Linked DNA regions of Nothobranchius furzeri. The protein of the gene in region 3 interacts with the protein of the main gene of each other region in a pairwise test. Links are inferred from orthologs where the notes say so. Each region holds a gene or a part of one and is shown on either strand. Other genes may lie near its edges.

Region 1 (3,887 bases), on a different chromosome or scaffold from region 3:
TTTACAGGTGGGCTAGTGAGCAACTTTTAGAAATGATAAAAGGAACATAATCTGCAGTTTTAAAGATTTTAATAATTCTAAATTTCTCTTTCATTTGAAAAAAAAAAAAACAAAAGTCCCAAAACGTGTGCAAATTAAGCCAAACAAGGTCTGGATTTCCTGTATGAAATTTAGACTCCTAACCCTTTAAAAAGAATTTGCTGAAACTCTTGTGTTTAAATAAAAAATGTTTTTAATACATTGTTTTTCATCACCTGGTCATAAACTTTGATTGGGATTCACTTTTGTGTTTTCCTGTTACCTGTGCAGGTGTACTACAGTGGGAGGAGTCAGTGGGAGGAAATGTCGCCCATGCCCAGAGCACTCACTGAGTTCCACTGTCAGCTCATCAGCTTCAACAGATACAGAGACCCGTGGGGTGACACGGAGGGATAGACAAAACAGAATGCTGAAGCGGCACAAGTCTTCACTGACTTGCCGCGGTGGAGAGCTAACGCTAACAATCACAGCTCTAACAACATGCCTGCTTTCAGCTATCCTCCAAATAGCTCCTTATCTACACTTTATTTTAAATTTCAAATAAGTATAACTTGGAAGAAAAAAACAAAGCGTATTTGTGAAACTCCTGGTCTCATGTTGTGCTTTTGTGCCAATCTAAATGTCCCCTCCTATGGAGGAACCCTAAAATATTTTTGTCTTGTTATAATTCAGGTGGGAAATGTGCTCTTAGATGTAATGTGATGTGTAAAACTGTCAGCTGTCCTACAGCTAACATATAAAAGGATATTATTTTGTTTGAAATTGTGAAAAATCACATCAATCTTCAGCGTGTTCTCCCAATATGCACCATCTACATCTTATCTTTTAATCGGATTAAACTAGACGTGTCAGCTCATTCTGTTACATCGCCACTGGAGCCTTGTGGTGGTTAGTAAAACTCTGCTGTAAGTCAGAAAATCACACAAATAGAAGTTTTTATGGACAAAAAAGTGAAATAAAATAAAATATTTAACTGCATCCTGGTTTATGAGTAGATGCAGTATTTTTGTAACATTCACACAAACAGAAGGATCCACAGTTGCATGTATCTAAAGCTACATAAAAGACACTATCATTCAAGTGTTGCTTTGCCTGCATTTTACACAGATAAAGTCTCAAAAACTCTTTTATTTTTTATTTTATTTACACTCCAGACTTTTCCTTCCCATGGGCTCATGGCCACACATTCAAAAACCTTCTCCTAATAAAAATATAACTCCAAGACAAGCTGTCTTGGCTTTTAGGTAGTGTTTGATGTCTAAGGAAAGCTCCAGCTCTGGATCAAACCAAGAAAAACAGAAATGTAAACTCTGCATTGATACAACAATCAGCCAGCACCAAAGTCTCATTCGCTGGCTGCTCTTCATTCCTACATCTCTCCTGCTCCACGCCTCAGTCCTGGTATGTTTTCACCAGCAGCCACATGAGCAGCACCGTGATTAAAACGATCATGAAGTTGAGGAACAACTCCTGGGTCGAGCGGTCCATGGTGAATGAGAGGGAATGGGTGGCACTGGCGAAGTGGAGATGTGCGGCTCTGGTTTTGGACACTTTTCTAAAACTAGACAAAAAAAAAAAAAAAAGAACAGGAACAGTAAAATGTTTTGTTAGAAAGAAGATGGAAACTGTTAATGTACCCTAACACGAGCTGGAGAATATGAGGAGATCAAACTCCTGGACTCTTACCTTAACAATATGTGCAAGGGTGTCCCCCCAAGCAGGAAAAGAGGAGATCTTTACTCTTTGCTTCACAGAAGCCTCTCGTCTTCCCACTGGAAGCTTCTTCTCTCTGCTGGTTCTTCCTATCTCCTCACTCTTGTCCAGTTTTCTGCTTTTGTCAGAGGCAGGGCCCCTCCCCTCCTTCACATTGGACTGCCCAAGGCTCACGTACACACAGACTGATGTCACACTCCAACTAAACAACCATCGGAGTCTGTTATTTACCACAGTGTCATCCGCTGGAGTATTTTCCATCCACAACAGGTCTCCCTTTCCTCCCATAACAACAGAGAAGGGTTATTTTTACAACCTTGTTGCAGATACTTGGTGGATTACAGTCGTTCCAAACACAATATACTGATGGGTGTAGGAAACTCTAACTATCCCTCAGAATCAGGGAGGGGGCTATGCCCTGAGGACAGAATAATGGAGCAGCTACTCCAAAATAAAACATGCATCATCATTATCGATGTTAGAAACAGATGAAAATGGTTAATTCAGAGCAAATTTTTGCGAGCAAGAAAAATGTTTTAGTTGTCGGGAGGAAAAAGGAAAAGCTTTAAAACCCAAGATGGAGTGAGATTTATTAAAAACTTTAATCAAACTTGTGTCATCCTCCTGAATAAAACTGCATAACGATAACGAGTCTTTTGCACAAAAGGTGTTTTGGATCATATCACAAAATTTGCAGCCAAAATGGTGAAATTCCCTCATGTAATATTTTTGGAATCAAACTGAAAAGTTGTTTTGTTAATGAATTAATAAACTAAGTTTTTATTTTTTTTTACTAGAATTGAATAGTTTTCTCCCCCTACCATACGCGGATCAGGACTTTTTGCTGTATAAGTTCAAAGAAAACAGCTTTGACAGCTCCCAACAGCATACCCCTCAGCTCCTCTCACACTTGGCAGCTGCTAAGAACGGTGTTATCTCTGAACGAGTGTAAAGCCCTCGCGACATGCACACCTTCTCCTGCACTCAGAGGGAGCATGGCAGGACAAAGCATATGTACAGCTCCCTTGAACTTTTCCATCAAGGAATTCCAGGGTCATTCCCAAAGGATTTAAGGGATCAAAGTGGTTGCAATGCTATCTGGCTGTGGTGCCAGCCTCAGACCAATGGCTGCTGGACTCTGGGGTTCCCACTGTTGTTGTATATGTGGTGCCAAGGTTACTGAGTAACGCAAAGAAGGATGTGATTGTAGAGCGGACCATGTCTCACCCACGGCAGCTGTGGGTGTATTTAGGATGGACGTGCTCTGGCAGGGTTACCAACTAATTCAGCAGAGAGACACTGGGTGTCAACAAGGCCTCAGAGACACCATTCCAGTATCCGCGGGACGCAAAACGTACATGTGCTTGTGTAATGAACCACGGTATATCATGAAGTGACAGCTAGCGGATTGAAAGTTTCCACAAGGGAAGGAGAAAACATGACCTAAAAACAGAGGCCTAATTAAAACAGAACTATTGCACATTGGTCTAGTAATGCCATTATTTTGTTAACAGCCAGGATTCGTAGAGCTCATTCTACTGAAACAGCTCTTCTTAGGGTCTCTAATGAACTTCTGACTCACAGTGATGCAGGGGACTGTTCTGTTCTGGTCCTGCTGGACCTGACTGCAGCCTTTGACACTGTTGACCATCACCTGCTACTGGAGAGGCCGAGAGACTGGGTAGGCCGATCAGGAACTGCTCTGGGGTAGTTCCCCTATTGTCTGCCTGAGTGTTCCTTCTCTGTGGCCGTCTCCAAGTTTCAGTCCTCTACCACCTCCATCACCCATGGTGTCCCACAAGGTTCTGTGCTGGGGCCTCTGCGTTTCCTCCTCTATCTGATTCCTGGTCAAGTAGCATGTGACACACATGGGTGAAGATCAGCTTTAGACCCGTGATGTTTACTCTCATGGTGCGGGGGCTTATTTCCTGGTCTGCCCCGTTAAAAATACAATTGACGACTTTAGTTTTCAATAGCGCAGAACGGTTGGATTTAAAATGAGAACTTTAGTTGTCAATGACAGTTAATGAGTGAAATTAATCTTCTACCATCTTTATGCAGATGACATCCAACTGTACATCTCCTTTAAGCCCCATGAGATGTCTAAGCTGCAGCTGCTCCACACCTGCTTAGAC
Region 2 (4,615 bases), on a different chromosome or scaffold from region 3:
AGCTATTTTAAAATGTCATGTTCTGTAGATTTAAACTAAGTATTTTACTTCTCGTGTCTGAATAAAAGCCTTAATAACAGTTATTAACATAACACAAGTTACTCAGTCTGAGCATTTCCTGCCTGAGAGCATTCTACTTCATGGTATGACGACTAAATCATATATGTGATGGCATGAAAGTGCAAGCTTCAGCAAATGTATTCAGTGTAAAATTCACTTTTTTGAACTTTATTTCACAAAAGAAGCTGAAGATGATTTAATGTGTCCAAAATCTTTCTGTCATAAATGTTTGAGGAGAAATTTTTGGACCTTAAGACTTTTTCTTTTTCTTTTTGACCATTTTATTTTGTATAATGCTGTGGTTTTGTGAACTGTACTCCATTACATCTTGCAGAATATTGTAGCTGAGTGCAACTTTTCTAATGTTTTTGGTTCCAGTCAACTAAAAATCAGGCATGCCGCCCTTGATTGCATTTTTCTTTTTCATATGTAATTATAGTTATAACAGATCGTTTCTGCCCTAAAAATGTGGCAGTCTAAGCAACTAACTAACAATTCACAATTTCACCATCTGTCTTTTTAAACATGTTCCTCCAATGACATCTGTTGTGGTTCAGAAGTCTTGTCCATACTTTTCCTGTCATGCTTGTGGACATCTGTAATGGGAGAGAATGACCTTTTGTCCAGCAGACGGCTCAGGAGGAGAGCCGGGCGAAGGACAGCTAGGAGACTGATTTTGTTTAACTTTGAGCAAAGCACAGGTGGCCAGCGAGGCAGCAGCATATTGCCCATGGCTTCTTCGTCTTCCTCTTCCTCTCTGCATTGACAGGGCAGGTGATTTCTGAAGCTCCAGGGGAGCTGGCAAACAGGTGAGCCAGAGGCAGACAGATGTTTTGACAGAAGGAGGAAGGATGTGAGATGCTGCATCACAATGTGACACAAGGAGATGAAAATAATGACAAAGATGTTTCATTTTTTTTTTGGACTTTTTTTTTTTTACCATTTTGATTTAAACAAACCCGCGCAGTCTGATATGACATATTGTTATTAAAAAGCAAGAACATTCTTACAAGTTTAGTAATCAGTGGCAACCCCAAGAAGTGCTCAGGGGGACAATGGCCACCTCACTGCCCCCTCCAGGGAAGACAAGCCCGCTAGCCCCATAATAAATGTAATTCATGTTCCTCAATACTCATACATTCAGTTTATTAACATAAATGTTAAAGCAAGTACACAACTTTCTTTTTTATTTTTTCTGAAATAAATTTGTGGAATTTTGTCTTTTTTCTGAAGCGTTTAAATTTCTCAAATTTGAGGTCAATGATTTAGGGAGATTTGGTAAATGTGTTGGATGCATAGGCCTTCAGCGCACAGCAGCAGACTAAACTTTACCCAGAGTTACCACAGGGACAAATGTGGTGTGCCACCCCAAGATATTCACTGGCCCCCCATGAAATTCTTTGGTGGCACCACTGTTAGAATAGCCTCACACTTTCACAAAAATGCCTTTTTTGTCATTATCATCATCCTTGTTCCTCATATTTCAAACACTTTGCGAAAAAGGGACCCACATTGTTTTAATTACAGAATGAAATTATTTATTTAAAGAAGGAAGAATGGATTTGGTCATTTTTACAATAAATCATTATTGAATGGCAAAAATACATATTCCACCTTTATTAGAGGTGCAGAAGGGCGCAGAAAGCAGCCAGTCAACCACATTCCCCACCAGCTGCTGCTTAACAAACGATGCAACTATTTTAAATGACGCGTCTGAATAAACGCGCTTTACCTCCTGCAGACCAAAGGATGTCTTTGTTTAAAAAGGCCACGAAAGCATAAGTGAACACTTCTAGCCCCAGTCAGGGTCCATCCACCTTTAAGTGCTTTTTATTTTTATAAAATGTCTAAACGTGAAAGCAGGGCTTCCTTGGTTGTTGATCACCGTGCGCTCTTCATCTGTACCGAAAATAAGCGTCCCCATCCCTCAGTAGGCTCCAACAATCACTGTCTCCGTTTCTTTTGAGGGTCTCCTGTCCATAACCAAAAAGTTGATCATCCCCTCTGACTTTATGAGCAGGTTGCAGCCCAAGAAGAAGATGCCAAACACCACCGTGAGGGACAGGACGCACATGACGGCGATCTGGACCACCCTCATGATGAAGAGGCTCCTCTCATCCGGTGCCGCGGCAACAAAGCCGTTGTCAGTCACCACGGAGGAGAAGTTGCAGCAGAAAAACTCTTCCGTCTTGTTAAACAGTCCACTCTCTGTCTGGTTCAACCCGGTGGTGTTCATCTCTACTTTTGCAAAAGAGAGAAAAATAAATCAAACTTTGAGCGCGCGGGGCCCAAAAAGCAGAGATGAGAGAGGTTGGATTATCATCAAGTGATGGTGAGGAGTTGAAGAAGTTCCTCTGGATCAAACAGAGCTCTCCCGGAGTCGGAAAAGACGCTTTGGCATCGCATCACTGGGGATTTCATGCGCTGCGCTGCCAGTTTCAGATCCAAATGAATGCACCGACCTCGCGGTTATATACCCAGACCGCCTCTGTTCAGGAGGAAACAGTAAGAGCGCCACCACACGGTAAGACCGCACATTGCAACTTCTGTGCAACGCATTGACATTTTGTGCAAAGCCTGTTTTGTAAAGTATTTGCAGCCTGCTGTGAATCAGCACGTGCACTCACACAGGAATCCATACTGACTCATCATTTCTACGGGGTCCCCGTTGGTCCTGCAGACAACTCAGCATGCATTTGCTTTCAGTTTGGTCTTTAAATTTATCTAGACAATGAGAAATAAAGGTATAAGTACCAAAGCGTCATGAAAAATCAATTTAATCATCAATAAATTGTAAAAACAAAACAAAACTACATTGTTGTGCACTCTCATAAGATTTTAAAATTTGATAAGCAAAATGTTTGTACTTGTGGGGACTCTGGTGTGACATATTTAAATTATTGCTGCAAAGAATAAACGTTAGAAGTAAAAAATAAAACAACGTTTAAAAACAGAAAAACAAGAAAACAGAAAAATAGTCAAACAATTACTGAAAATATAATAATTAATAAAAAATATAAAATTTGTTAATTATTTTTCTAGTGAATATTCTTAATCTGATATTTTTTATTTTGCAGTATATTTTGCCATTTTGCATTTAACAAAATATTTCAGATTTATTAAACTTACAGCCTTTTGCAGCTGTTCAAGTTCAAACAGAGTAATAAAAGTGTTACAGTAACAAACAGTCTTGAGCTGAGGGCTGTTCCACACCGACGCATGAGAGTTATATCTGCTGTTCTCATGTTTGGCAGCAGATGGCAGCATTGTTCAACTTGAGCCAGAATCAGAGAGGTGAGGTAAAAAAAAAATGAAGTCAGACCCCAATTCCATTTTTGGTTCTTTTTAAAACACAGGAAAGGTTTCTCTTTCAAAACACCCTCACAGTGTCAGCTCTGAGGGTGTTTTGCAGTTGGCAAACAAAACTGTCAGCAAGGTAAAGAGAAACTTGTGTTTTCAAAAGAACCAAAAATGGAATTTGAAGTCAAACACAGAAAGAAAGTACCAAAGATGAAGTCAGCGTCATTTTAACCGGGGACGCCGGGGACATGCAAAAGACCGCTTCAGTGGGAGGAAATCAACCAACATCCTTGAGTTTATCCGTCAAAATAAACAGTCAAATGGAAATATCTGTAACCTGCCATTTAACTGTTTTGCCTTCTTGTGAAGATTGTTGCAACGAGAAACAATTAAACTTGATTAACCCCAGAGCCACGCGCACTGCGCTGTAGTCCGTGACTGTAAATGAGGGGGAAACGATTTAATGGGATCCTTTTCTTTTCAACATGGTTTAATGTAAAGTTTCATTCAGTACAAACTTTAGTTACACCAATCTAACGAGACAGAGCCTGGATTTGTATTCTGAACAGTTTATAACATGTTTAAAACGGAGACGTGCGTGACGCGTCTAAAATTCGTACCTGCTCCGCTATTATGGAAATTAAACTAACAGGATGAATAACATGAAATTATTTTAGGCACAGACAACATCCCCCACACTTTTGAAAAGCTTGCAACGCGCCTGGTCGCTCGTGTACGTCAAAGTTATCTTTCATAAAAAGATAATCAATAAAACGATTAAATAAAGTGGATCCAGAAGCTGTAGCCAGTCTCTGCCTTCAATATTCACCCTATTGGTGGTTTTACTGAGCAGGTGCCACTTTTGTCATACGTTTCTTTTTAAAACATGTTTAGACTGTTCAGAATACAAATCCAGGCTCTGTCACGTTTGATTGTTGTAATTAAACTTTGTAGGTGGGGAAGGTCGGAAAGCAGCTCAGAAGCGCATGATTACGCACAAGCGTGACGCGTCAACCCGGTCTCACAGACCGGGTTGGACCTGTTCAGGTTTACGCAGACAATCTTTACATTTAGAATTGGCAGATGTAAAATTAATGCAGTAAAATATAAAGCATTTTATTTAAATATCCATTCATTATTTTACAAGCACCGAGAGCCGCATGCGGCTCCAGAGCCGCGGGTTGCCGACCCCTGTGCTAGCCTACTTTATTGTCCCCAGCAATTTTTAAGCCCCACTCAAGTGTATGGCTATTGT
Region 3 (5,205 bases):
CCCACGTCATCTTAACTGGAGTTCCAAGCGTTCTAGAGAAGTTATCAGAGTGGCCAATCCGTAACTTTCCTCTTAAAGCCGAAATAACCTAACGACAAGCTGGATTAAATCTGTTGCATGTTCCACCTGCTGCAACGGTTCCTTTAGAATAAAAGCTGAACCATCACGACCCCCTTCAGGGTCTTGCTGATGCCAATAAACTGTTGTGACCTGGGAGTAACTCAAGACTGGAAGGGTCAGCAACCGCTGCATATCTACAGTCGTCGGTTCCAAGAGGGTCCAAGCTGGACCCCCGACATTCCAGATCTAAACGGGGACTTCCATTGGGGTACGTAGACTGACAGATGGCGTCTCAATGTGTGTTATAATCTCCAAACCAAAGCTTAGAGCGAAACACCATTTCACTCCCATCAGAACTAATCGTTTCTCTGGATTTGCTGGTTCTGAACATATTTCACACACAGACCAACCTCAGTCTTACTCCACCTTAGTTCATCATCACATAGTGTTTAAAGTTAGTCTTGTTTAAATTGTTTAGAAATAAATCTTTTAACTTTTTAAACCCGACTCTATTTCTTGGAGTTGATACGAAGTGTTGCTCAATCCCTGCAATAAAAAGATCCGATCTTATGGTTAAATGTACTCAAAGATCCATTAAGGTGATGTTTCATATTTTATGATATTTTACATTCTATGGTTTCTAATTAAATATAAGAACATCTTCTCTACAATAGTAATAGTAAGTTAAGATAATTATTGCACATGCTAATGAGAGTAGTAGTTATATTGCACGTTTTGAAAAGATGATATTTGCAGTGGAAGGTTACAGATGTTTGGCTTCTATTAGCAGTGACTATTATGGAGTCTAACAGCAGCAGGGAGGAAAGATCTGTGGTATCTCTCCTTCGTACAGCGAGGGTGGATCAGTCTGTTGCTGAAACTGCTCTCCAGAGCAGACAGGGTATCCTGCAGGGGGTGTGACTCATGGTCCAGGATGGATCTGAGTTTTGCCTGTACCCTCTTGTCCCCCACCTCTCGTACTGAGTCCAGAGGACAGCCCAGGACAGACCTGGACTTCTTTATCAGCCTGTCCAGCTTCTTTCTCTCCCTCTCTGTGATGCTGCTGCTCCAATACACCACACCATACAGGATTGCTGATGCCACCACAGAGTCGTAGAAGGGCTTCAGGAGTGTCCCCATCACCCCAAAAGACCGTAGTCTCCTCAGGAGGTGGAGCCTGCTCTGGCCCTTCCTTCCTGTCTGTGTTGTGAGACCTTCTACTCCAACCACTGGTCGGTAAGCAAACTGCAATGGATACGTCGAAGGTCCCACAGTAGACCGGAGGTGTCCCAGGATCAGTCTCTCCAGTGTCTTCATCAGGTGGGATGTGAGAGCCACCGGCCGGTAGCTACTGAGCTCATTAGCTTTTCGTGTCTTCGGCACTGGAACCACACAGGAGGTCTTCCAGAGCTGAGGTACCACCCTCAGCTTGAGGCTCAGGTTGAAGACATGCTCTATAACTCCACTCAGTTCATCTGCGCAGGATTTAAGGAGACTGGAGCTAATATTGTCAGGACCAGCAGCTTTTTTCGCTTTGATCTGCATCTGCTCTCTCGTCACCTGGCCTGTTGTAAAGGAGAGGAGTGGGCAGTGGGGCTCTGTACTGGGGAGGGGGCCGAGTCCTGGGGGATGCACGATGGTGCGAATGGAGGAGCCAGAGGTGTGAAGGGCTGTAGTTGTAGGGGGTCTTCCAGGTGTCGAGTTATTTGAATGAGGCTGTGTGGGGGAAGGGGTGGGTGCTTGGTCAAACCTATTGAAATACAGGTTTAGGTAGTTGGGCCACTTCAGGTCCCCCTCCCCCTGTGAGTGGGGTGTTTTGCTTCTCCATTTTCCTATTGTAGCTGGCCTCCCTAATCTTCCTCCTCAGCTCCTTCTGAACGGTTCTCAGCTACTCCTTGTCCCCAGATTTGAAGGCTCTCTTTTTCTCCTTTAAGAGAGTTTTGATGTTGGGGGTGATCCATGGTTTGGTGTTCGCGGAGCACCACACCGTCCTGGAGGGAACGGTGTTCTCAAAACAGAAGTTTATGTAGTCCGTGATGCAATCTGTGATGGCATTAATGTCTTCCCCATGTGGATCACAGAGATCTGTCCACACCGTGGTGTTGAAGCAGTCCTTGAGAACCTCCTCACACTCATCAGTCCACCTCCTCACTGTACGTGGGGCCACAACCTGCCTGTTTGGATTTCACCTAAAGCTTTTGAGTAACGTATAGGTAAGGCCTGGGACAATTATTCACAATTAAGAGTTTCCCCTGCATCTCTATGAACTTGACAAGCTCTTCACTGCTTTCTTGTCTTGCTTTGCAAGATAAAAAAAAAAATATATATATATATATATATATATATATATATATATATATATATATATATAGACTTTTGCACTTTTTGAGCAGGACCTGTTTCAATAAATTCCAGATGCAAAAGAAGTGCTGGAAATGCTCTATATTAAACTTTCATAAATCACAAACTGGATTAGGGTTAGTCAACCCAGTACACAGTCTCAGAATAATCTGTGGTTTTGAGCTGTCTGCTCTAATAAAGGATGGTTTCACCAACCACAAACTAAAATCTGGACACATTCTGCTAGAATCAGTTGAAATGGTTCTTTAGCCATTTTTCTAAATGGAAATTAGAAATAGAAAGAAACTTCAGCTCCATGAACTTTAGCTGCAACATAGGCTGTTTATTGTTGTTTTGAATAGGCCTACATTTACATATGAGGTATTTGTCTGCTCCTGCATCAGAAGCCATCAATATGTCACATTATGCTGAATTTATGAGTACCATGTTGGAATTGGTTAAACACTCCCGCGATTAATCGTGAATAAATACTAATATTTTCTTGACTGACCGCCCTAATCAAGTTTTATTTTGTTTTCGATAAAGATACCAGAGGCACTGTCAAAGACATCATGGCTTCCTGGGTTGTTGCTTTTTTTAACATCTATCTTGATTCTTTTAAAGAATTTTAAGACAGTGTTTACAATCTGACGTCATTGGGGACACGCGATCACCTGGAATCACCTGTTGACCAGAGACGAGCTAACATGCTAACATCATGGAAAGCGTCACAAACAAACACATCTGGGTCCAGTACCTGGTTCTGGTCCTCGGTCCTTCTTTCTCCAGTTTTATTTAAGGTTCTTGTTTTGTTTTTTTTCCTGGACCTGAGTTCTCACCTCTAACTTCTGCCACCTGGAAATTCTGTTGTGAAATTTTGCGGAAGTCAACGTCAGGTGTGGTCTCTCAGGTAAATAAGAAAGCCTGCTTAAAGGGCCAGTATTGGTTAAATGCCTGCCGACAGAAAATCCTCCCAGGTGATCAGAAAGCCTCTGAAAAGCAAACAGCGTTTATTGAAACTGAGCATTATTATTGTCCCTCAGTGGGGAAATGTTTCAGTCTTCCATTCTGAGCAGGATGGATGTTCAATAAATTCCTTAATTACGCAGAAAAATCTTTAGTTTCGTTTAGTTTAGTTTAAAGCTTTCAAACGTGTAAAAAGGACAAAATAAGCAAACATTTTCACACATAATTGAAAGATGCAACTAAAAAAATAATAAAATGGAGAAATCATAACTTTGAATAAAATAATAAATTTCCATGTCTGAAAAGGAGAAGATGGAAGTAAAACATGACCCACCCCTTCCTTTTAAGTTAATGTCATTTACTAATTGGGCTTCCAATCATAATCGAATACTATCAATCTCAACAATACTCTTCACATATCATACAATCATAGCCAAGAGCTTCACAACAATATCTAACCTATAAAAAATTATTAAATAAACAATATTCACCTACTGACCATGAAAAAAAATGCACTGTTTCTTAAACTCACTAATATTCAGACATTCCCCGAGCATCCACTTCAAACATTTTCATAATTTAACCACAAACCCAAATACAAACACTTGATAATGAGGACAAACAGCCATTTTTACCGCAGTTTTGCTCAAAAACATCAGTTCAGTCCTTGTGATCCACTCGCTGTTTACCTCCTCTTTCCCTCCTCAGCTGTGGGAGCTCTGTGAAGCTGACCCCCGTCAGCTTCAAAAGTGCAGGCAAATAGGCTGCTCGATTAACTACAGGGGTGAGGAGGACTAATGCAAACAAATGGGAATTACAAGGGAGGAGGAAAACATGAGGAAAGCCTAGAGGGAGCTGGGGAACACAAGAAGACACATGAGGAGAACCTGAGGGAGAACAGGAGGGGGCTGGGGACCAAGGGGACACAGAACATGACACATTCACCTGGAAAACCAGAAATTAGTTTTTAAACTCTAAAGAAAATTTTGAACAGGACATAGCGGAGAAACGACAGACTCTAAATGATGTGAAGAAATGTTTAAAAGCTGAAAACATTCATCTGGAGAACCAGAAATCAGAGTTTGAGCAGAAAAAGACAGAATTACAGCATTAGATTAGATAGACAATTTCTGCTCAAAGAGGAATTAAATATTCAACTTCTCAGAGAGAATCTGCAGGAAGAGAAAAGGGAGTTTATTAAAGCAGTAGAAGAAGCTAAAAGTGATTTCAATGAAAGTCTAATTTAAATGAGAGTTTAAAATGTATGATCATTGCGAGTCTGTGTGTGTATGTGTTTGTGGGGGGTGCAGTGTGTGCGTGCGTGCATGTGGCAAGGACGGGGAGCGCGAAGGATCAAGCCTGGGGTACCAAATTCGGTAGAGTCAGCCCTGGTGTTACCTGACACCTGATGATAGGCCCTAGGTAGGCGGCCTTGGGGATCAACCCAGCGGCATGATGACTGAACTTTTCGGAACTGATCTGCTCTGGGTGGCTGCATGTTGGAGTAGCTCTGTTGACGATATGTAAGTTTTGTCTTTTCTTGGACATTTTTTCTTCAAAGTTTCTCAAGAAAAACGTTTTTTTTTTTTGACATTTTACTTTTCTGTTTCTGGTGCTGTGAAGCTTGGAGGATTTTTTTCTGCAATTGTTTTGCTTTTTTCACTTTTTGAGCATTTGTTATGATGCGTAACCATGGCAACAAGCTGGTTTACAGCTGATTAACATTGGAAAGGCTGAAATAATACCTCAACCGAAGCCACCAGAGGTGGAAAGTAACGAATTACATTTACTCACGTTACTGTAATTGAGTAGTTTTTTTTGTTTATTTATACTTTTCAA

Evidence for each region.
Region 1: the proteins of tmem79b (region 3) and sarcolipin interact in binary tests that used the Homo sapiens proteins (3 or more experiments, as listed by UniProt). The two-hybrid records come from large-scale screens. The link is inferred for Nothobranchius furzeri from reciprocal best matches to the Homo sapiens genes TMEM79 and SLN.
Region 2: the proteins of tmem79b (region 3) and rprma interact in binary tests that used the Homo sapiens proteins (3 or more experiments, as listed by UniProt). The two-hybrid records come from large-scale screens. The link is inferred for Nothobranchius furzeri from reciprocal best matches to the Homo sapiens genes TMEM79 and RPRM.

What each region holds. Positions count from the first base shown.
Region 1 is NC_091753.1:35,535,997-35,539,883, reverse strand, and holds sarcolipin, read right to left. Parts: upstream 1,964-3,887; 5' UTR 1,726-1,963; intron 1,601-1,725; 5' UTR 1,528-1,600; coding exon 1,432-1,527; 3' UTR 1,118-1,431; downstream 1-1,117. Other genes in the region: kbtbd3 (kelch repeat and BTB domain-containing protein 3), read left to right, coding at 310-435. UniProt on the Homo sapiens protein: Reversibly inhibits the activity of ATP2A1/SERCA1 and ATP2A2/SERCA2 in sarcoplasmic reticulum by decreasing the apparent affinity of the ATPase for Ca(2+). Also inhibits the activity of ATP2A3/SERCA3.
Region 2 is NC_091754.1:18,399,799-18,404,413, forward strand, and holds rprma (protein reprimo A), read right to left. Parts: upstream 2,553-4,615; 5' UTR 2,297-2,552; coding exon 1,988-2,296; 3' UTR 1,118-1,987; downstream 1-1,117. UniProt on the Homo sapiens protein: May be involved in the regulation of p53-dependent G2 arrest of the cell cycle. Seems to induce cell cycle arrest by inhibiting CDK1 activity and nuclear translocation of the CDC2 cyclin B1 complex.
Region 3 is NC_091745.1:66,341,229-66,346,433, reverse strand, and holds the start of tmem79b (transmembrane protein 79), read right to left. Parts: upstream 3,407-5,205; 5' UTR 3,240-3,406; intron 1-3,239.